3 linked regions of the Daphnia pulex genome follow. The main gene of each other region encodes a partner of the protein of the gene in region 3 in a complex. Links are inferred from orthologs where the notes say so. Each region holds a gene or a part of one and is shown on either strand. Other genes may lie near its edges.

Region 1 (7,444 bases), on a different chromosome or scaffold from region 3:
CAGGATAGATAGATGGAAAAAGTTGTGTGGTATCAGGTATAAGCCGGCGAACGTCTTGCGCTGCTATTCCAAACATGTAAACAGATCAAAAACAGACGCCGGCAAGAGAGAGAGAGTGTACACATAAACAACACACTTCAAGAGAGTGATTTCGTACGCCGTATAAACTGCTGTTAGACTATATATATATGTATACAGCCCTGCTGGAAATAGCATCCACCGTCGCTCTTTTACTTCTCTTATTACATCAGAAACTGTCGACTCCTCTGTGACCCCCCCGCAATCAAGTGGCACGACGTCGTCGGAGTCTCTTGTTTCATTCAAACCGAGAACGATATCAAAGCAGATGGAACACGACGGCATACACCGTGGAAATCTCCTTTGTGTCTAGTCAGCAATTTGAATTTTTGAAATGGGGGGAAAAAACCGCGCCATTTTTTAAATAATGTTCAAAAAATTCCGGGAAAAAATGAGGATAGCAAATGGCACTTGGTACACACACACACACACAACAGAGAACCCCTAATGGCCATCCATTGAGGTGATGATGTGTTTGTTTAGAAACGGGAAGCCCACAAAATCAACACAATAAAAGAAGAAGAAGAGAGAAAGTTGTCCTCTTGATTTTTCTTGTTGACTTAAAGTTTTTTAAAAAAAGCGCCCGGAAGAAAAGCGGGAAACTTTGAAAAAAAAGTCCAAAAAATACAAGAAGGGTCGAGTGTGTGTGCAAAGGTGGGCGACGGCGGTTTTTGAATCAACACGGTTAAAGAGAAAATAAAATAAAAAACATTTAGTTTTTTTTTCTTTTTCCAAAAGGATGGATAATAGAGTTGTACCCAAGTAACATAGAAAAACACCGGAGCGGCGGAGTTCTTTTTATTTTCTTTATTTGTATTTTTCCTTTTTTATTTTGTTGTAGCAATGGCGCGTTTTTGTTGTTGTTGTGTAAGGGCAAATAGAGTTGTTGTTTGTTGTGTTTGTCGATCTATCGGATGCCGGTGGTTTTGCGGAAAGCGTTGAACTGCTCCAGGTACTGATTGATGCCGTCGATAGTGCCCAGCATGTCGCCGAATCGGCTCTGATGGTCCGTCACGGAACAGAAAAAAGATTTATGCATCCAGGAAAAAAATAGAGAAAAAAATAAAAAAAATTTTGTTAGACGAATTGGAATAATAACAACATGACGAAAGGCAAACATCGTAAATTCTTATTTGATATTGATGGGGATGAAGAAGAAAAAAATAAAATAAAATTGTTTTGAGCCTATAGACGGGCAGCAGGAAGAAGGAGCAGACCTGGATGTACGGAGGCGGAGTAGATGGGACGCAACCGCCCAAGAAGCCCTGCATGAACTCGCGGATCAGATCCCAACAGGCGGCCGGCAGACTGCACGCTTGATATTCCACCTGTCAAAACGGATGGCAAAAGTTATCTCTCCGATAGAATCGATCGGGAAAACAAAAAAATTGTTTCTCATCCATATAAACAGACCCTGCAGACGTCGCTGGCTGGCTGTTGTTATTATTGTTGTTGCGAGTGTCAGCGGGAGTATATGAAATCAATATTCAGCCGAGTCAGAAAATGTTCGCCCCCAAAAACTCATTTGAAATTCCATGACATCTCAACAACAAAACCAAAAAATAAAATAAAACGAAACAAGGAGAAGATGAGAAGAGCCCATGACGTAACAACACAGACGGAGAATATCACGCGCCTTCCAGTTGTGCCGCGTTTTTCTTCTCTTTTCTTCTCTTCTTCTTCTTCAATGGAAAAAGAGAAATAAAAAGGCCCCGATGGTTGGATGGATGATCAATTGTTTTGTTCACAACATCAGCCCGCCCCAGCGCCAACACACTCGGCTCGTGTACGATAATAAGAGGCACCCAAAAGAGCGAGGAACTCTCTCGAGTCACGAATAATCAAAGAACCAAGAAAACCAAGAAAACGAGACAGAGTCTCTTTTCTTTCTCCCGTTTTTCACATCAACATTGACTCAGCCCTTCTCTCTCTGTGGCTCTATTCAAGCGTCCATCATCACAAATATTAGCCCAAACCCGTCAGAGCCAGCTCGTAGACTCGTAGTGATTTGATCATTTCAAATAATTAAATTTCTCCCACCCAACCCCACTTTTAATTCAATATTGACAAGCTCATTAACTGTCTGAAACCTTCCCGAGTGAAATGAAAAGAAAAAGAGGCGCTTGCATATTTAGTGCTGGATGACCGAAAACGGAAAAAAAGAACCATCACGCGGAGATTGTAAACACAGAAGAAGAAGAAGCTGGAAAAGCTCTAGCTCTAGCTCTCCCTCCACACACAGAGAAAACGGATGTTGTCAAAGGGTTTTCTTGTTTTTCAAGAGGCCAGAAAAAAGCCTCTCATCATTATTACCTTGTAGGGAAAGAAAAAGGGAGACAATCGACAGCGTCAAGTCGAGATAGAGATGGAAGTTTTTGATGTCGTTATTGTCTATGCACTAACGTGGGATATTGGTTGGTTGGTTGGGTTGCTGTTTAATGTATACCTCGACTAGGATGCCCTTGAAGGCCGGTCCCATGGTGACGGAGCCGAGCTTGACGAGGAAGTCTCCGGCTTCGAAGCGCGGCCCTCTCGATTCGATCTTGGTCTGCTTCTTGGCCGTGTAGAAATTGGAGAGCTTGAGCATGAGCAGGTCGAACAAGTTGTCGGCCACCAGGGCCACCGTCTTGTTGCCGCTGGCCGCCTCCAGCAGAGCGAACACGGAGGCCGGCGTCTCGGAATTGTGCAGCAAATGCACCGATCTCGGCGCTCCTGCCAAATGAAGAAACCAAAAGTTTAATGATTTTAAATAATAAAAAGAAAATGAATGATAAAAACACATTGGCGTTTAACCCTCCCACATCACAAGACATGAGAGAAATCAAATTTCCTACGAAAAAAAGAAATTGAGCCAGATTGGCAGTTTGCAAAAACAAGGGCGATAGACAAGTTGATGGCGTCATCAGTCAAGTCCCGCCGGATAATGATGATGGCGCCTAGCCCCCCGTCTGTCTCTTTCTCCTTTTTTTTCGGATTTTTTTCCATCTCGTCGGAGGATTTGGTTGGAAATGCTCGCAAATGGCAACTCGAAAAAGCTTGCGGGCAACTCTCCAACATGTCAGATAAACCACAAACAGCCGCAGCCTTCCGTCGCCCCCGTCTCTCTATTCCTCCTCTTCCTCCTCCGCTACCGACGACAACAACAACAACAACAACCCCCACGAAAAAAAGAACTAAAGCGCACGCCAAGTGTCGGGAGGAAACCTTGGGCATTAGGGAGAAAGAGAAAGAAGAAAACAATAACTATGCGCGCCAGTTGTTCTCAATCTTCAACGAGTGTGACGTCAAACCTCACCATCAACTTATCTCTTCTTCTTCTTTCTCTTTCCTCCTCTATTTCCACCCCCGACGGAGGGAGAAAGAAAGAAAAGAAAGAAAAAATCAAACAAAACAAGGAAACCACAAAAGCACGGAGTCGGTAGGCAGTCATGTGTGTTGTTGTGTTGTGTATAGCAGCTGGGCGGATCGGTAGCGCCCGTCCACTTGATATCTAGACGTGAAGCAGGTATATCTCTCTATATATTCGTGCATGTGGATATACATATAGCCAGAAGAAGAATATAAGAACAAGGATTCCTCTTCAGATTTTCCTGCCCACATTCTACCCATTAACTGCGTTGGTTATTTTCAAAATAGAAAATCAAAATAAAATGTTTTTTAAAAAATTGGAAGCTAAGAAAGAAGAGAAAGAAAAAAGAGCCATTTGAAAAAATACTGCTTCGAGATAAGACATCAAGTGGCTTCTACTTCTTCTGGGATTCTTTCCAGCCTCCCTCTGCTTTTTTTTCTTTGGTTGGAAATAAAAAATCAATTCTATTCCAATACGCTCTCTCATGACGCGGGAAACTTAAATTTTCAGTGTAATTCAAATGTCTTTTTTTTTGGGGGGGGGGGGGAAAGAGGAGGGAATTTCAAACGTGGAAGAGAAGGAACTCTGCGGGGAGGAGGAAATCACTGTGTGTGCGAGATTTTCTTCTTACTCCGACCGGAGCTGCTGCTGTTTTTTGGGATGGGGGATGTTGTTGTTGTTGTTGGACCCCGGCTGCAAAGTCTGCGTCTGTCTCTCACACGAGATGAGGCTGGAGAAAAACTTCTTCTTCTTCTTTAGGCCCAATCGGTTCGTGACACGCGATATCTCTCACGAACGATTCCCACACCACGTCGCAGAGTTAGATCAAGAGAGAGGCCCTGACCAATCTCAATCGAGTAGAGATCCCAAACACCCGACAAAAGGGCAACCAACCCAATGTGCTTTCTCGCTCACTTCTTCTTCTTCTTCTTCTTTTACAAGGAACTTGGTGATATTCCATCAGGCTCACATCATCCCCCCCGGTAATAGGATACATCTTCTTTTATTTCCTGGTGTGGTGGCTGCTGCTGCTGCCCTTTTCTGTGTTAAACCAAATCAATCCAGCTCGTGAATTATTCAACGCATTCCAATCAACTTATGGACGCTTCTTTTCTTCTTCTTCTACTTCATGTATAACCTCCTCCTCTTTCACCTGATATAAAAATATTTTCTCTCTTTCCTTCTCTTTTGCGCCATCCCCCGATCGGAATGTCTTCATTTCGGACGGACGGACGGGGAGATTTCTCGACGAGATCTTCTTTCTCTCGCCCCCCTACCGTAGCACAGAGGAAAGGTTAACCAAAGGTAATAATTTACCTGCCTTCCTAGTTCTTTTTTTTTTTTTTATTTTTATCATACGAAACAAACGGCTTTCACCCCCCTGTAGGAAGGTGTGGTTATACACCCGGGGTAAAATCAGAAAGAAAAAAGAACGGGGGAAAATGTTTTATACACACGAGCCCTTAACGATTGAAAGATCACAAATAATAAAACACACAGGAGAAAATGAAGTTGGACAACTTCAAAAAGAGAAAACGTTTTTTAAGACTCTCTTTTCTCCGCGTCTTTTTAAAGGGTCATTAAAAAACATTTGGTTAAAGTCCAGAGGGGGCTCCCACAAGCTCAGATTTCATCATTCCAACTTGATCGTTTTGGAAGAAAAAGAGAAAAAAATAAAAAGATGAAAATGTCCGCGTTTCTTTCACTGATAGATTCTCCTACTTCCCAAAAACTCGCCAAGTTGGCCCGTCCTGTGTAGGTGTCAGCTGAGAAAACTCGTACGGGGGTGCGGAGAGATTCAATTTCACAGATGAACGGCACAGACTGACGGCCAGATGTAGAGAGGATACCAAGTGGGGGGAACGCCGGAAAACAACAGAAAATCGGCGAAATCGGCAAAAAAGAAGAGAGGAGTGTGCTCGCGCTATGGTCTTCTGTTGGAGACGGGAAAAGATATTGCGACTATTTGTTCCTTTTTCAACATTTTTTTTTATTATTTTCGGTCCGAAACTGGCCGGCCCCCCTCTCTATTTCCGTGACGACACGAATCACGCCCAAGATTGACGACAACAAGAAAGTTTGGGGGGAACGGTTCCCTCCTCTTCAGATGCGCTCCGGGAGGGGGGTTTTCTAACAAGAAGAAGGAGGAGGCTTCGTCGCATATATATCTCTACTACTCCTTTTTCCCTTGTAACTTATTAAAACATTTCAAGAATGTGTCGTGTGTATCTGCTGGCTCCACCCCTTTTGATTTCCAGTCGCTTGAAATGTGTGCGAAAATGGAAACTAATTGTGAAAAAAAGGAATGAAGTGGAGAGAGAGGGGATGAAGCTATTTAAATGTAAACATGTCGAGACAGAGCTATTCTCGGTCGTTCTTTTTGCCAAGTGGTGCACACAAGTCAGCTGATGGCCCTGTGGCGTATCAAATACGCTTGACATCGAATTGCCGAGTTAGACGAGAGAGAGAGAAGAGAAAGAGAGTCGAGAGAGGCTACGGATCGATGAAACAAAAGACGCCAACTGTATCAACGCTCAGCCTTAACAGACTTAAGAGACAATAAGGCGGCGGCGGCGGCAGCAGACGGGCAGATTCAACGTCGCGGAATGGCAGTAGAACAATGCGGAATCGAAATACGAAATTCAAAACAAAAAAATTAATAAAAAGAAAAAAACAAATTTGTTTTTTTTCACGAATTGAATGGACCGTATGTCATCGGTCCCAGAGGCGTCCGTGAGTCAAAGAGCCAAGGACGGGCAAGTATATATGTTGACAGCTTGTCACTAGCGCACGTAGGACGGCCTACCTGAATTACCCGGCAGAACGAATCGTTTTAGGGGGAAAAAAAAGCTAGCTTCACTCGACACGGTCCTTAAATAAAAGTTGGAATAGCAAAAAGGGAATAAAGAAAACTAAGCAAAGAGTTTGGGAGGAAAAAATAAAAGAGGTAGAGACATCCATATGTGGGAATGGAAGGGGAGGAAATTTACAAGTCAGGTAGTGTGTTTTGCTCGTAAAAGGTGTTTAGAGGATTCGGATATCTCGTGTGTTACGTGTCGAGCGGATGGTTAAAATCAAAAGAACTCGGTGCCCTCCACATTTGAGTTATTCAAATGTAGAGATGGGTGGTGCCATCTGGTTATGGGAAAGCTGAACAGTTCCAACGGTGGACTTGGAGCTGGTAAAGTGAGCAGCAGATGGGTCTGCTGTCACAACTTGTTTACCACCATGGACTTGAATCGGGAAAAATGTAATAGAAGATTGTGTTTTTTACCCAATGATGCAGTAGAACTGTAAGTTTCACAATCCACGATGAAGGATCCACTAAGAACAGCTCCCAGAGCAATGGCCCGTTTGGTCAACATTTCAATAACCTGAGGACCGGACTTGCCTTCAGGAACAGCAAACAGTTGTAAACTAAAATTGAAAAACAACATCAAATTAGTAATTATTTCATACAAACTTGTGATTCAATTAATGGTTCCTTCATTTGAATGAAATGTGATAAAGCTGAGAGACACTGAATGCTTTACTCACACTATGACACCCATGATGTTGTTACAGGGTCAACTAGGTAAATTCCACACACAGTCGACTCCCCGAAATTACACCTGAATGTTTATATTCTATTCCTATACTTAATTACAAAACAAAAAGATGAAAAAGAAAGTCACGTTTGTTTCAAAACAAACTGCTTTTCGTGCCTGTCAGAAAGACCGGCTTCGATATAAGTATCGATATGCTCCTTAACAATCGATCAATCGATTTTCCTTTTTCTTGATTTTTACTATTTAAAAATAGATTGGGGAAAAGTCGGAAAACGGGAACACAAACAAGAGCTGTGAAACCTTGAAGCATTCACACTCCTCCCCTTGACAAAAACAAAAAAAAAAAAAACGGGTGAGAAATATCATCCAATATTCACGTACGACAGTTCTGAAGTGAGAAAAACCTCGCGTCGAGCATTTGTAAGAAAAAGTGGGTGGGAACCGGATGAACACTATACTACAAGTGAGC
Region 2 (5,582 bases), about 1.5 Mb from region 3:
TTGTGCACATGTTATGAAAGCTATCCGTAAATACATACAAAATTCGTGTACCATTTAACCGCGACCAAATTCTTTCTGTTACGTAAACCGATGTTAAAACTAAAAGTTTTAACATAGATTTATTTTGTTTTATACTAAAATTGTCAAATTGATTTGGTTCTGAAAACACCGAACACGGATTGGCCTTCAAGTGGGGGATCGTTTGTTAAGCACGTAAAACACTAATTGGTCGATTCGTTGCTGCTGGTAGTTTGAATTCCACGCGAAAATGTCAAAATGATTTGTAGTTCCACTTTTCACCGCTGGGGTGTTTATGGTATACCGTGTCGTCTGCTTTGAACGCTCCTCTACAAACCACAAACTCAAAAATTTCACCTCACCTTCAGAATTTAACGAATAATTGTGGCGTACTTCAACATATGTTTGTTAAATTGTGTTTTAGGTTATTAAGCTTGAAATTTCTATAATCGAGAGGATGACTGAAAGTGTAGAGCAAAAGCTCAAGCACTTGATGAGGAAGGCTTGGAGGGAACGTTGGACAGATCTCATGTGGGGGATATATGTCAAAGAGGTACTTTAACTGTAATTTCGTAACAAAAAAAAATATCTTTACCAGTTTTAAATTAAACTTTCTTTACATAAAGGTAATACCAGCAGGATCAACTGGAGATACATATAATCTAGCAGAAAGCATTTTACAGCAGGCTTTGATCGGACCATCTCCAAATTCAAAGTTGTTGTCATATCTACAGCATTCATTACATGTTCAAGTAAAACCACAACTTTAATTCAATTACTAAACACATTTTGTTTTGCTTGTTAATATTTAATTGCATACCATTTGTGTGTTTTAGATTGTTTCCTACAGTGCTGTTTTCGAAAATATCTGCCTTCAAGGTAGTATCCAGAAAACCAGATGCCTTTTGGAGTTACTACTTTTGGTGGAGCAATCAATAGTAACTTTTCCCATTCAGTCTTAAATTGAGATATGGTTTTAACAATATTATTTATTAGAAACATATTTCATGTACTGGATCTGGCGATGGGCCTGCTGCTTTAGCTGCTTCTCTATTGTCTTTGGAAACTTGGCTTTGGAGTCTTACGTCTGATGGACTAAAAAAACTATTTGATAATAATAGTGCAACCAATGACTATTCAGTCATTTGCCATTATACTACAGGATTACTGGGGACTTTGTATGAAGAGAACTATTTAATATCTCTTCTATACATTGCACGTTGCTGCACTAATGATCAGTTTTCAGCAACTCATCTTACATCGCTTGTAAACCAAACTGAGTCCAACCTGAAAAATTTAACTACTAATGGGAATCCGTCATCAGAAAAACTTGTGGAATCTGTCGAAAAAGTCATGAGGTACTTCATTTGATGTTCTTCGTCAATGAGTGGTCATTAAAACAAATTCTCCACAGGCAATGCCGATCATTTGAAAATGATCTATTCAAAGAAAATGGTCCCGAAAAGCCCTTTTACGAGAACTCATTGTGCACAGACGTACATACATTAATATCTTGGGAGGCGTTGCTTCGCCCCACGTCAGATGGCCTTGAGTTGACTCGACAGTTGGAAGTTCTACAGAAACTAAGAGGCTATTCACCCACCCAGCTCTATTGCGAAATCCTCAGAGCGTGTTGCCTAGGACTAGCCGAAACTGCTGATTCTCCTGGAGAGCTACGTTGGGCTGTATTCACTTTCCTCAAGGCACCGTCATTACTACTCCGACTTCATCGATCAATTTTTGGTACGATTAGCAATATTTTAAAATTTCAAACTGTTCTATTAAATTCTCGTTTATCCAGGATTGGATCCAAATTCGCCTATTGGAGAACCAAGTCCGGAAGTCGCGGGTGCGTTTGAGCGCCTTCTTTGCTATCCTGGACTTTTAGAAACAACCGATGCCAAATGCCATTGCAATGTCGTCGAAGGTTTATTAAATGAAGTGAAAATACGGACATCTCTTTTATCTGAATGGCATGTTACAAGCATCCTCAGCAAAAGAGAAAGTCTATCCCGCGGAGGTCTGAAGTTAGAGACCACTAACACACAAATAGCTACTTTGGTTCTTCGTGCTGAGCCAACGGTGGCCAGTATTCTGAAAACGTTGGATACTGATTACGCTAAAAATCAGGTAATCAAGGAAAATGTAGAGAATTACGTAGAGCAAGTAATAACATCTTCATTTTAGGACACGCTGTTGAAAGTTTTATCTCATTTGCTTTCGGGGCAAAGCTTCGAACTCATACTGAACGCTGCAACTGGGACTGGTAAACTCCGAGCTTTTGCCACAAAACTCGTGCGATTTAACGAAGCGAATCGCCAACCTGCTGGTTCCGATCCAAGTAAAACTGCAAATGCAAGGGCTCTACTCTTTGACATCTCATTTCTAATGCTCTGCCGTATTACGCAAATGTACGGCATTGAGGTAATGAAAATCATCTAATAATTCACACCTGAATGCCTTCTGATGTTACTTGTTCTAATGATCGATAGGTGATACTGAGTGGTGAACTAGGAGGGGAGACTTTCTTTGAGCAGTGGGCTTCAGAATGGCTGAAACCTAATCAGGCGCCTGATTTGTCATTAAGTCGCTGCGATCCCATGTTGACTGATCAGTTATTGAAAGCCTTGACATCTGGAGAGAGTGACCTTAGATCAGGGTAAAATAATCTCGCCATTTTTTTCTTGAAAAATAATAAGCCCATTTCTATTCATAGGAGCGTTCGATGGCACGAAGCTTGTTTCCACGTCCCTGCTGTAATACGGGAAATTTTGGGGGCTTACGAATCACAATTAGTTTCTGATGAAGAAGTTGAAAGGATTCTCGATACTTTACGGACTCAAATGTGCTGTCTGTCTGTTTGTGCTGCCGCTTGGCTTCGATTTTACATCCAAGTAAGAAAAGATCCAATTAAAAAAAAATCAAAAAGATTCGAATTAAAATACGGTGGACATCTCCTTTAGGTACAACCAGCAAATCTGAAAAGTAAGCCCACGAGCATGCTCGATCATTTGATGACTTCCCTGAATCTTGATGACTCTAAAGAGCATTATAGGGAAAGGTAAATTACGATAATGCCCTAACAAATGATTTTTCGCGTTCACTATAAAATTCTTTTTTCCATTAAGGTCAGTATTGATGCTGCAAATCATTCGGCGTCTGGCACAAGACGACAATCCCCTACAAAGCGTCTCAGAGAATCAAGATCAAAGTTTGGATCATCAGTTAACCAAATTATGGAATAAGATTTTAAATCATGGTTGGTCAGACCATAGCACAACAGTGGGTATTGATCAACTATTCAAAATTGGTGGAGCAACATGGTTGGTCACTTCTTTGGTCAAGGTACTTAATCAAAGAACTTTATCCTAGACAAGCCTAGCAGGTATGGGTATGCGATTGAATGTCCTTTCTTTGTGTCTCGCAGGCAGTTATTAAAGAGCAATCTTCTGACAAAAGACAACGGTGCGTCGAAGGAGCGCTGTCAGTTGCACATTTAGATTTAGAAAGCTGTGCCATTTCTTTAGCAACCAGAGTACTCCCATTCCTACTAACTCACTCCTCAATGCTGGCCAGGTAAAAGGGTTTGGCCTCAGCGTAATGCCAATCCCAGTTAACATTCCTTTTTTATTTCAGTGACGAAGAAACCGGTGGACCAGGCGGCAAAGCGTTAGCCCAGTTGACTGTCCTGCTGTTTACCGCTGCGTTGAATAACCAGTTAGCCCCAGAATCCGACTCATCCAGCCCTTCCAAAAAGTTGGGTTCAAAACGTTCAATCGATTGGGATATGAATACGCCGGGTTTTCGATATCCTCCTTTGAAAAAGATGGCTCTTCATGAGGAGGAATTTGACTTTATGTTTGTAGCTCCTAACAGCGGTAAGTTGTTGATTTGTTTTGTTGTTTTTTTTTGTTTGTTTTTTTAAGATTATTTGAAACCCTGACATATTGATATTTGTTTTCAGCCCATGAAAATAATCCACTCTCCAATGCAATTGCAAATTTAATGCAATTAATGACCCGAGCCGCTGGTGAAGGCATTATTACTCCGCAGCTTGCGTTCATTAGTTATTTCATTCAAACGATGGCAGAAATAACTTCAATCAAAACCAAAGAAGTCATGAGACCTCTTTTGACCTTAATTCCTCCAGCTCTGGTAAATCTTTTTTTTTTACAAAATTAACGTCGGAGTTTTCTTTCAAAATCTTTTTCTACTTCCGTAAGGTGTTTTACATGCTTGCCGTTTGGCCCGGGTTAATGTCCATTTCAGATGTTGCCAAACTGTTGGCTCATCCCGGCGATGAAATGGGTGTCGGGAAAATCGCTGCGCAGATCGTTTGTGCATTCAAGAATATAAATTAGTCCACAACAAGGAACAGAAATGGATAACAATTTTCTGTTCAAAAAGTATTCGCTGACCGACTTCAAAGTGACGATACTCTTATAATTTTGCTGGAAATCACCTTCTGAGCATTTCGCCTACTGTGGAAATCTGAGAGAACGAAAAATTCGCATTGTCAAGAAATTGTAATTTTCAATTTTTGTTCACATCAGTTTCGGAATATAATGAATTTTCAGTAAGAAATCAGCTATGTTAGCTTATGTCAAAAAGAAGGGGCTGTCTTCTGTTGTCGAAGTTGGAATTTTAATCCCGTAGGAGTTGCGCAAGCGTACCGCCCCATTGATGTGGCCTTCGAAAACGTTTAGCATATTGATGTCGTCTTCATCGTTACCAAATGGGTCAGTGGCAATTCGGCCTACTTTGAGCCAGGCATAGTAAAAAAAGAATGGCAAAGCTGCAATAATAAAAGGTATAATATTAAAACAACAAAACACTTTTTGAAATTTGTGGTCATTCGTACCGTAGGGCAACGGAAAATAACCACTCATCACCGATGTCAAATAATGTTTTTCCGCTATTTGATGGGACAATATAGACACGAGTCCGTAACAATAGATGGCAATTGTCACAGCTTGAATCAGGGCAACAGGAATGTTCTTTGTAGCAAATTTAATTACTGTTCCACCACCTTTCTTCAAGGCCTGGATAGCATCGATGTTGCGACCGAAATCATTAGCAACGAAAAAGTATCCTTTCTGAGAAGTGTCCCGCAACAATCCGTTTAACCAATCGTAGACGACTAGAGAGCACGTCCTCGAAGTACCGCCAGGCTGCCCTTTGTGCTTTTCCAGTAAAAGTCGTTCGTTCTCGCATAGTAATCCTGCATTCTGGATTGCCATCAGATTAGGATATCTTTTTCTCAATGGTTGGCAGACAATGCGGAATGTGAGGAGCCACATAAGCAGAACGTAACGGATGTACAGGTCAACTCTGGCACGACCATCCGCAACTTCTTCTTTGAGCGACACAACGAAAAGTGTGATCGCTCGGTTGGTTCCAGGCATACTAGACATTATGTTGAACCAGCGATTAAGTGCTGTTGAAGTGAAGAAACCCAAGAGCAGAACGACGGGCAAGCTAGAAGTGTATCGCGCCAAATAGCTAGCCACGGCATCAAAATTTGCCTGGCCGCCAGTGTCCAAAGCGAAAGCGTAGAACAATGT
Region 3 (9,284 bases):
CGTGAGCGCCAGAACTTCACGGAGCCCGAAGATATTTTTGTCGAATTACTGGTGGCACGTGAAGCAGATTCCTTGATTTTGACCACACGGTCCCTAATCATTTTGTAAACTTCGGTTTTGCAAACGAAAAAGTAAAACATGGCCGGTCCGATCAACATGTAGAGAGAAATACTGAAGATGAGCAATTCGGGAGTGGCATTGTCTGAATCGACTATTTCGTGAACGATTCTCGGTATCGTGTAAAACTGCATCAGTAAGAAGAAACGGAATATCGTCGTAATCCTGCGTAAAAAAAAGGAACGGTAAGCAACATTTGTTACATCACCATGAAACTATTCATATTTAGATATAACCTTTGTTTTTCCAATTTGCTGAGAGCCACGGGCGAAACAGAAGTTTTAAGGAAACGGAGACTTCCATGAACTTTAAGAGCGCTTGGAATGAAGAAAATCAAATTGGCCGTCACCAGAATGACGTTCGGTGTGCTCAGTAAATGTTTGACTGAAAAATAATCCATGTGTGTTAATTTTATTATTGCAGGAAGAAGACGAATAACTGAAATTTACTTATGGGATTTCCAAACCAACAAAGACGGACAGGTGGTCCCAAACTATCACGATAAATAACCACAGCCATTTGTAGTACGAATGGCAATCCCCAAGCGTAGACGGAACACAATACAAAACGGATGAGCAAGTCCCGTCTATTTGATGGTCTGGGACCTGAACTAAAAATAAACAGTTGCATTTGAAAAATAAAATTCCACCAAAAGGAGAGGGCCGTAAAAAAAAGTGAGTTATTACTTTAACTGGTTCCAGATGTTGAATCCCATCACGGTAATCCAGGTTGAGGACGCATACCGAAAATAATTACTAGCAATCGCTAGTGAAGAGAAATTTTTTTGTAAGGATATATAATTAAATAAAATTTTTAATAATAAATTTTAACCTATATGAGATTCTTACTTTTGAAAAAACACCAGGTGTGGGGTTCGGTGGGAAGTGAAAGCAGGATTCCGTATTCGAGTTGTACGATAATCATACAAATCAAGAAGCAGATCATCGAGTACCCCTGGATGTTATCACGAAGTGGAGGGAAGATGGCATAGACGGCCAACGTCAAAATGAGGAAGAAAGCCGAGACGTAATGAAGGTACGAATAGACACCCCACAGGAGATACCGCACCAATTTCATTCTCCACGGCAGGCATATCATGGCAATATCCTAAAGGGGATCAAAAGAAAAAGTTTCTTCATTGTAGTAAATTAACATTTAATAGGACCCTGATATAACTATACCTCTTGGTTTCCCTCAGCATCGACAGCAGTATCAACACAATAATTGTCGGAATGACGCAATACTTTGTACAAGGCTCTTTTCACAACAAAGTAGCCGGATGCGTTGACCTCATATCTGTTATCGACGAACATTTTTGGCACGTAAATGTTGAAATCATATTCGCAAGTCAACGAAGAATTCTCCACGACTTTGAATGGCCATCCGGCCGGAGTAACTATTTTGGAAGCGTTGAAAACTCGATCGTTGGCGATGCACTCCATGATCGAATTGCGTTTGACTGATTGGCCCATCGGACAACATTTTTTCACTTGCGCTGGAGTGCGGCAGTAGGCTACGACAGTCTCGTTACGAACATCATTAAACGCAGTGGAATGAACACAATACTGAGTTATTGTTTGATTGTAGCGAGGTTCTACAATGGCACCGTCGACGGACTGGTTTTCCATTTTGAAAGTTTCCCATCCATCGGAACACTGTAAAAGTGGATCGTTGACTCCGGATTCTTCCTGGTAGGTTTTGAACACCGCGGGATTATCGACGCACTTGCGCAATTCCACGTCCAACACCTGATTTCCAGGGCAGCACTTTTGCGGGAATACTTTGTCTCCGAAGGTTAATTCCGCTAACACGGTTATCACAACGACGCTGGCACACGAAAGTAATCCCATTTTCTCTTCTTTGGTCACCAGATGTAGGCGATCGTTCAAATTGGGGTGCGCTGGAAATTCGGAGGGCTGTGTTTAATCCAGTAGAAACCGGATTGGACCATGATCGCAATTAGTAGACCGCAGCAAACTGGACGAGAAATGGATCAAACGCGTCCGTGTCAGGAGCGAGCACCAGCCGACACATTCGCCCGCGTGGAAGTGTGCTCAAAGACTAAGTATCTTTCTTCAAACGTATTACAATTGAGTTTCTTCACAACGCACGGTCTTCTCCAGCACTTTCGCCCCCTAGCACTATATACTTTGAGCGTGCCCGCAGCTACACACTCTAGTCAAAAGAACGCCCGCTGTATCCCTCAGGTAGGATGGTTGTTGCCGTTCGTTCGAAACGAGCTTAGTCAAGGTTAAAAATCTCCTCACAACGTTTCGGTAACACTAGACAAAGAGCGTAGAACATTCACGTGTTGTTGACGTCACATTTCCTGGATATCTCACGATTTCACGTCCACGAAAATGTCATATTTATTGGTTCACGGAGTAGTACCAGTCTATCATGGGTATCTTTCACACCGTTTCCGGTCTGTCTGTTAAGTATTGAGTGGTTCGCGTTGCTAGTAATATATCCCAATTCTTTAACAACTGCGATTGTCAAATAGGAAACCGTCTCAGAGGGACTCTGAATTTTTATAGTAACTAGACTAATTCCTCCCTCCAGCAAACGGTCCGTGACTGGAACTCTAGGCGCAAGCTTTGATGTTTATGGGCACTATCACGAAAAAACAGCCTGCGGCCTGCAGACTTCGAATTCGCCGCCTCCCAAAAGAAAATTTATTCTTCTATGTATTTGTGGTTTGTGTGGATGTCTATGTTGGCGTTCAATATTTGCTCAACCGAGCGAATCCTCAAAGCAATAGCAAGTTTGAATATATACCGGTAACCGCCAGTAACTGGTTTGCCTATACCAAGGTCGCAGGTGGGACGCAAGAACAGAGCAGCAGTTCACGCAGACATATGGTTCGAGCGTGAAGTAGAGTCGACCTTGGCAACAGATCGCGACATCAAATTCCTTGTTGGTCGTCGTTCCCGAACGATTTTCCTGGAGGTAAAAAATGCGTTGATTGCGAACGAAATCTCTTATTTGAGATCGAGAACTGGTTGTGAAAAATTGGAAACACCTTTTTTTGTTTCTTTCTTCCAGATTCTCAAAGTTTTCTTGAGAAGAAAAATCATTAAACGTGTGTTACAGCTGACATTTCGAAATTCTTCTCATCACGCCCTTGAAACTGCTGCTGCTGCGCTCGTATGCAGATGAAGTCGCGTGAAAGTTCGTGTTCAATGTCGAAGGGCCTTTTCAAATTTCTAGTTCTATTGGAGCTTTTTTGCACAAGTCCATGATGGGTATAAGATGTTACAGGATGACGAAATATCTTTAACGCTTGGGGTTAATTCATGCGTGATCGCAAATTTTTAAATTTCAGGCTTTTTTGACCGATAATTTATACGGTCTCAAAAAATGCCACAACAAGCTGAGCTTATTTCCCGAACGACATTTGAAGGATATAGCCTTTTACGTTGATAGTAGTATAATATCCTGGTATTTGTATGTAAAGATAAGAATTATTTTACACGGACGCAAGAAATGCTATTACAAGCGGAATTTTCCCGAACGACAGTTGAAGGATATAACCTTTTAAGTTCATGGTGGTATTATATCCTGGTATTTGTATGTATTATGTTTGTATATGTTTGTAAGATAAGAAGGAAATTATTCCTTCTTGGCAGTCATTTATCTGCGGGTTTCGTGTAAATATTGAATTTTTTTCTTGTCTGTGGTAGGGTTATTAGATCATTCTAAAATAATTCCGATCCCTTTAGCGGATGTCGAGTGCGGGTGGGAAAACCACTTTTATCGTATTTTGAGTGGGTGTTTTTTATATTTGTGGATTTTTTAAATAATTTATATCGATATTTTAAGAAATAAATGGCTAATTAGGAAGTTAGCGTCGTCTGCTGCTTTTGTTTTGTTTAGTTTCGAAATAAACGTGGTCGTGTCCACTCTGTGGTCACATCTCTTAGGCCTACTCTCTTTACAGAATCACTTCGTACACACGGCTGATTACCAGGTAAATAAAACTAAGAATACCTATAGAATGACTATAGAAACTGAATTTCGAAGAATTAAACCTTTTCCAAATTTTTTTAAATGTTAGTTCGTCCTGACCAGCATTTATCATTTAAGCCCCTCTGTCGATGCATGGCAGTTTGTTTGTTCACTATGTAACCTTTTCCTTAGTGCATATTTGAGGCCAGAGACAGCCATCAACAAGATATGATGTAACCATAGACCTGTCATCAGCAGCAATCTCAGCATCATCGCTTAGGTAATGATTTTCATTACACCTTACTTTTATTCGAGTGGTGTGTGACCTGCTAGATACTTTAATTGTGCAATGTAATGCAGGACTTGCAAAAATGCAGTGTATTACATGTAAACCGTCTGTTTATTAACAATCAAGTTTTACTCACTGTCTCATTTTAAACTATTCCTTGCTTGTTGTTTCTGCAGATATTTTTTCGTAACCCATTTCTTATTTTTTTAATTAGTTTAACAGCATCCCGTTTGGATTCTGGATTGAGAAACTATCGATGTTGGCCATGTTACGGGTCTCTTCTTCCCTTTTCTTTAAACGGCCTCGTGTATGCCCATGTGAGTGTGGGTGTATTCACGAGGCCGCCCTTTAATATCCTATTCAATTATTCTGCGGATGGATGGAGAGCACTTGTGGATGCCTGTCCCGCTGTCCGTATATTTCCCAGGCCTGAAGGTAGGAAAAATGTATTCCTATTCTTTATTTTTTGACTGTTTGTTGGTGTTAAATCGTGACATAGTAGCCTACGGAGTACGATTATTCCTGAGCTAGATGCGGTTAACTGGAGTAGGTTCTCTTGCGGTTTTTGTTTACTCACTATAACTCAGTAAGGGTTCATTTAGGCGAAGTTTTTGTTTACTCAGTAAGTAAGAGTTCATTAAATTTTAGTGTTGCAGAACGACTGCAGGTCAGACCCAGTTTTGTACCTTACAACTTTGTCTGTTGTTGGTTCACAAACCTCAAATAAAAAAATATTTGAACTTTAAACACTTCCAGCAAAGTGCAACTAGAATTTATTTTTTTTCCCAAGAGAAACCTGCTAGTTTTATCCAACAAATCCTGTTCGAGGAACCTTCCAGCATGACGGTTAAAGAAATTCGATGCACAACGCTGACGTCATTATTTTTCCCCGGTTTCGTTCGCCTCAGGAAAATTGCCTCCGTCAGCCACAATTTTTTTTTTATTCACTTGACGTCATCAACATTCATTGTTTGACGTCACACTTGTGCGTGAGTCGATGAGGGGCGCGCCAAAAACAATTAAGTGGTGGTTCTCTCAACGCCATTTCGCAACCACGGGTTTTTCCGGTCACGCTTATTGTCAATTTACCTCACACGTTGACACCCGCGTTATTGTCCTATTTTGAGTTGACAATTTTTTGTTCACATTGTTTCTCCTCTTCTTCGACGAAATTGTTCTCGGTAAAGTGACTTGCTAACTCGACATTTTACACTTTCACGTAAAACAACTTCAGGTGTTGTTTGGAAATAGGGCAGTATAAGTCGACTAATTTGCAAAGATACTATAATATATTGTTCACACAATAGAGATAGCGGATAGTCACACTTTTAGCAAATGTTGGCTAAACGCCTAAACCTATAATGATTGGCCTAATTTACCATTCCAGCACCGCCGCCTATTGTCAACCAGGCGGTGTACCATTCGTTCACAATGGGGAAAACATCTCGGCAGGTTTCACGACAATTTCTTTGATTTTATCTTCTAACTTTCTTCGAATTTGGGTTTCAGAATTTTCGAAAACAGTTAATTTATTGTATTTTTCCTTGTCGCCACATTTTTCTGCTTTGCTTTAATTGTACCGGTCATCAATCTTACAACAATACGACGTGTTGCAGCACATATGCGGCTCGGGAGATTCTACTTCCTCGAGTTCTTTGTGTCGGGATGTTGTCGTAGTGAATGAAGGCGAATAAAACTCCAAGGGCAAAAATCTTAAAAAGGAGTTTGGACTCTGTTAGGCACTTTGACACAGCGATAACCACCATATACGTAAATCTCATGACAAAGAAAAAGGTAGAACTCGATGAAAACCGGAAAAGGCGATGTGGCATTTGCTGAATATAGCTTTAAACTATTAACAAAAAAAACATCTTCCAGCCGACCGGTCTCAGACAAGTTTACATTAGCTTTTTCATTGACATTGACTTTAAAGGACCTTTGACACATTGCAGAGAAAACTAGGTGTGGCGTTTTGAAAATCGAAATATTGTACCGATTTGATTCACCGGATTCATTCGCAAATTAAATATTTAATCATTTTGTATCTTTTGCAAGCCGGAGCACTGCGAAATGCGAATACGAGGCTTAGAAAAATTAATTTGGCGTTCACACAAACACAGTTGCAATCGAAAGCAAATAAAGCATTGAAGGTGACCTTCGAAATAATGTTCGAATCGTTCGCGATGCGAATTTTTAAACACCTTTACAACATCCTCAAGCTTTCCGCTTTGAGGGCCGTCAGGTGAAGAATGATTTAGCATTCATTTCGGCGAGTGTCTATGTGCTTTAATAGCGTGATTCTCACATTGGATATCACGTAGGCACATTTCTGTTCGTCTGACTTGCCAGTCGAGTCATCGTGAAAGACAAATTTCCTTGCAGTTTTTATTTTGTATTCTTTGTTTGATTAATTAATGTCAGAAATAACGTTAATCATCTCCTTGTTCTTCAGAGTTATAAGGGGATTTTGGATTTTAATTTGAGAAAATATTTCCCGACATAAACTTTCTTATTTATCCATCCTTTATTTTTATATCTAGCCTAAAGGATGAGTCGCGCTCGGGGCTTGTTTTTAAGCTGATATAAATCACAATCACATTTGGGAGGACGTCGCTTTGGGCTACCATCCGCGCCTTTTACGTCGTTCTTTGTAACTTTTAGAAAGAAATTAAATTCAATGGAATTGTGCAAGGTCGTTAGGATATTTTTCGGAGCTTTAGACTTCCTTATTGCTACGTGTGTTGACCATCATTGCATTGAAACAGATTTTCAACCCGAAATATGTTCTTAAACCATTGCGAAATTCTCTCTGATGCTTATCACCTTCAACGTGTGTGCGCAAGGTAATACTTAAGTTATGGTTTCTAATTTCCTTTTGCGCTAAAAAGAGATTACTTGATTAGGTTGTAACGACTTTGAATGAAGGTCTTGAAAATTGAATTTCCACCAGCTTCTCGACATTTCGTCACTAATAATATTGTTGCATCATTCTGCACTCGTCCTAATGCGTCGTGTTAAAATATCGAGTGCTACTCAAACAACTAAGTGCGCTAGCTGGCGCAGCTTAAAGAATTTTGTCTTTTGTTTCTGATGGTGTTGTTTAGATAAATCATGATGGTCAACGACTCTAGACAAATCGAAAAACGCGTCGAGGCAAATAACTTGGCACGTCACGTTGAAGTGGGGAAAATCCCATTTTTATATCAATGCGGATCTTGTTTCATTTGCATTGCAAATATTTTGCGCATTTTCTCTTATATAGCAAAAAGTATAAAAATACATCTAGACTTGTCTTTTCCTTTCCGTGGTCATTCCAAGGTGACCGCTAGATATGCAAATTCTAAATCGTAATTCACGAACGAGAAAAGAAAGCAGCAAACAGATAGATCGGTGATCGATAACATTTTTATTGGCGTTTTAAAAAAATAAAATAAATAGTATGCTGGTCATTTTTCGATCGGGTACTGATAATAATACTCGTACTATTATTAAAAATTTCAATTCTTCCATAGCTTTTCTAGGTAACGTGATTCAACAATAAGGTCACCTGGTTTCTCTGTATTACTTACACGCGCTGTTGCGAGCGATAGTTACAGTTGTTTTGATGGTCCCACATTTGGTGAGTGTGTTGATCATGCATACCGCATTGGGGTAAGTCTTTCCGTCAGTCCCGCAAACTGGAGCAAAGTTGTCCGGGCACCCACATTGTGTTTCGGATACTTTGATGGGTGTTGTTTTACATTCGCCGTCGTGAGCCTTCCTGATGGGTGAATCGATGACAGTTCCACATTGAGTGACTTCAACTTCCATGCAGTTCTCGTTGTCGTAGGTTTTGCCGTCTGTTCCGCAAACGGGGGCGAATTTGAATTGACATCCACACTCAGCCGCCGCTCTCTTGACTGTCTTCGTTGATTTACATTCGCCATCGTAAGCTTTGCTCTTTTTGTCGCACTCCAGAGCACATAGGTTGCCGTAAGTTTTCCCGTCTGTGGCGCAAACTGGCTCGTACTGCAACGTGCAGACACAGATTGCTTTTCGGCCGATCCCCGCTACATGAATTAAATAGTCGCAAATGTTATTAGTTCAAAAATATGATGTATTACTTTTAGCAAATGCACACCTCCGCAAGCGCCGGGTCCGTAGCTTATCACGATGCTTAAGGCGAAAAATATGAGGAACAGAGACGAGCATGAGAAATTCTAGATTGTTGGAAGAATGAAAATCTTGGTTATCTTAAGAGTCTGCACAAACTCCGATAATTACAAAAATAATAATATAATTTACCTTTGAGTAGAACTGAAGCATTTCAAGAGAAAAATGTTTGAGTCGATGGAGAGCGAAGGAAGTTTTAAATCTGAAAATGTTGTCTATCGACGGACACCTTTATATAGTACTGCTGTTTATGTTATACGTCTGTAGTGCCTCGATTCATCAGGATTTTGTAGACTGCAAACGCCCAGCGCCAAAGGGGATTATTTCTAAATATCTCCATGTTGGGAAAATCCAAGGGAACAATTTCCACATTTTAGTTACAACATACGTTTTTTTTTTAAATAATAACCCCCGTTTTTCAGTTCCGTTTCGGAGAAAAAAGACAACCAATAGGCCTTAATGTTTAGAACATTATTGATTTCAATGGCGCGACGAATACGTCATATTACCTACAAACTGATGGAAAGAATGAAGCGGAAGTATATTCTTTTGTTGAATCATAAAACAATGATGTTTTTAACATTGTAACCTGCTCTATTTTCCTCTGTCAAAATCCTTTGTTCCCGCGGGTTGCATACCGAGTTATATTCTACTACGCAGTAGGCTACATATTACGCGGCCATTTTGTAAAGATTTAGTGGATTCAAAAATGAATGAAACTACGTATCTAGGATCGCTTAAATATGCACCCATCATTCAACGGATATCACCCTCGCAT

The links. The genes of interacting proteins can lie anywhere in the genome.
Region 1: mediator of RNA polymerase II transcription subunit 23-like (region 3) and mediator of RNA polymerase II transcription subunit 20-like share a complex: the UniProt entries of both Drosophila melanogaster proteins name them as parts of the mediator complex. The link is inferred for Daphnia pulex from reciprocal best matches to the Drosophila melanogaster genes MED23 and MED20.
Region 2: mediator of RNA polymerase II transcription subunit 23-like (region 3) and mediator of RNA polymerase II transcription subunit 24-like share a complex: the UniProt entries of both Drosophila melanogaster proteins name them as parts of the mediator complex. The link is inferred for Daphnia pulex from reciprocal best matches to the Drosophila melanogaster genes MED23 and MED24.

The regions. Positions count from the first base shown.
Region 1 is NC_060026.1:11,659,475-11,666,918, forward strand, and holds mediator of RNA polymerase II transcription subunit 20-like, read right to left. Parts: upstream 7,162-7,444; 5' UTR 6,979-7,161; coding exon 6,965-6,978; intron 6,845-6,964; coding exon 6,702-6,844; intron 2,791-6,701; coding exon 2,525-2,790; intron 1,407-2,524; coding exon 1,296-1,406; intron 1,079-1,295; coding exon 986-1,078; 3' UTR 981-985; downstream 1-980. UniProt on the Drosophila melanogaster protein: Component of the Mediator complex, a coactivator involved in the regulated transcription of nearly all RNA polymerase II-dependent genes.
Region 2 is NC_060019.1:9,364,176-9,369,757, reverse strand, and holds mediator of RNA polymerase II transcription subunit 24-like, read left to right. Parts: upstream 1-283; 5' UTR 284-475; coding exon 476-571; intron 572-644; coding exon 645-770; intron 771-854; coding exon 855-956; intron 957-1,014; coding exon 1,015-1,376; intron 1,377-1,432; coding exon 1,433-1,761; intron 1,762-1,819; coding exon 1,820-2,148; intron 2,149-2,205; coding exon 2,206-2,442; intron 2,443-2,510; coding exon 2,511-2,677; intron 2,678-2,734; coding exon 2,735-2,912; intron 2,913-2,981; coding exon 2,982-3,079; intron 3,080-3,146; coding exon 3,147-3,363; intron 3,364-3,445; coding exon 3,446-3,594; intron 3,595-3,654; coding exon 3,655-3,896; intron 3,897-3,982; coding exon 3,983-4,173; intron 4,174-4,241; coding exon 4,242-4,379; 3' UTR 4,380-4,602; downstream 4,603-5,582. Other genes in the region: bestrophin-3-like, read right to left, coding at 4,617-4,813, 4,880-5,582. UniProt on the Drosophila melanogaster protein: Component of the Mediator complex, a coactivator involved in the regulated transcription of nearly all RNA polymerase II-dependent genes.
Region 3 is NC_060019.1:10,885,329-10,894,612, reverse strand, and holds the start of mediator of RNA polymerase II transcription subunit 23-like, read left to right. Parts: upstream 1-3,990; 5' UTR 3,991-4,087; intron 4,088-4,257; 5' UTR 4,258-4,345; intron 4,346-4,568; 5' UTR 4,569-4,789; intron 4,790-7,741; exon of another isoform or gene 7,742-7,915; coding exon of another isoform or gene 7,916-8,403; intron 8,404-8,474; coding exon of another isoform or gene 8,475-8,553; intron 8,554-8,638; coding exon of another isoform or gene 8,639-8,735; intron 8,736-9,284. Other genes in the region: uncharacterized protein LOC124191180, read right to left, coding at 1-282, 354-501, 567-727, 804-882, 966-1,224, 1,299-1,967; ovoinhibitor-like, read right to left, coding at 7,916-8,403, 8,475-8,553, 8,639-8,735. UniProt on the Drosophila melanogaster protein: Component of the Mediator complex, a coactivator involved in the regulated transcription of nearly all RNA polymerase II-dependent genes.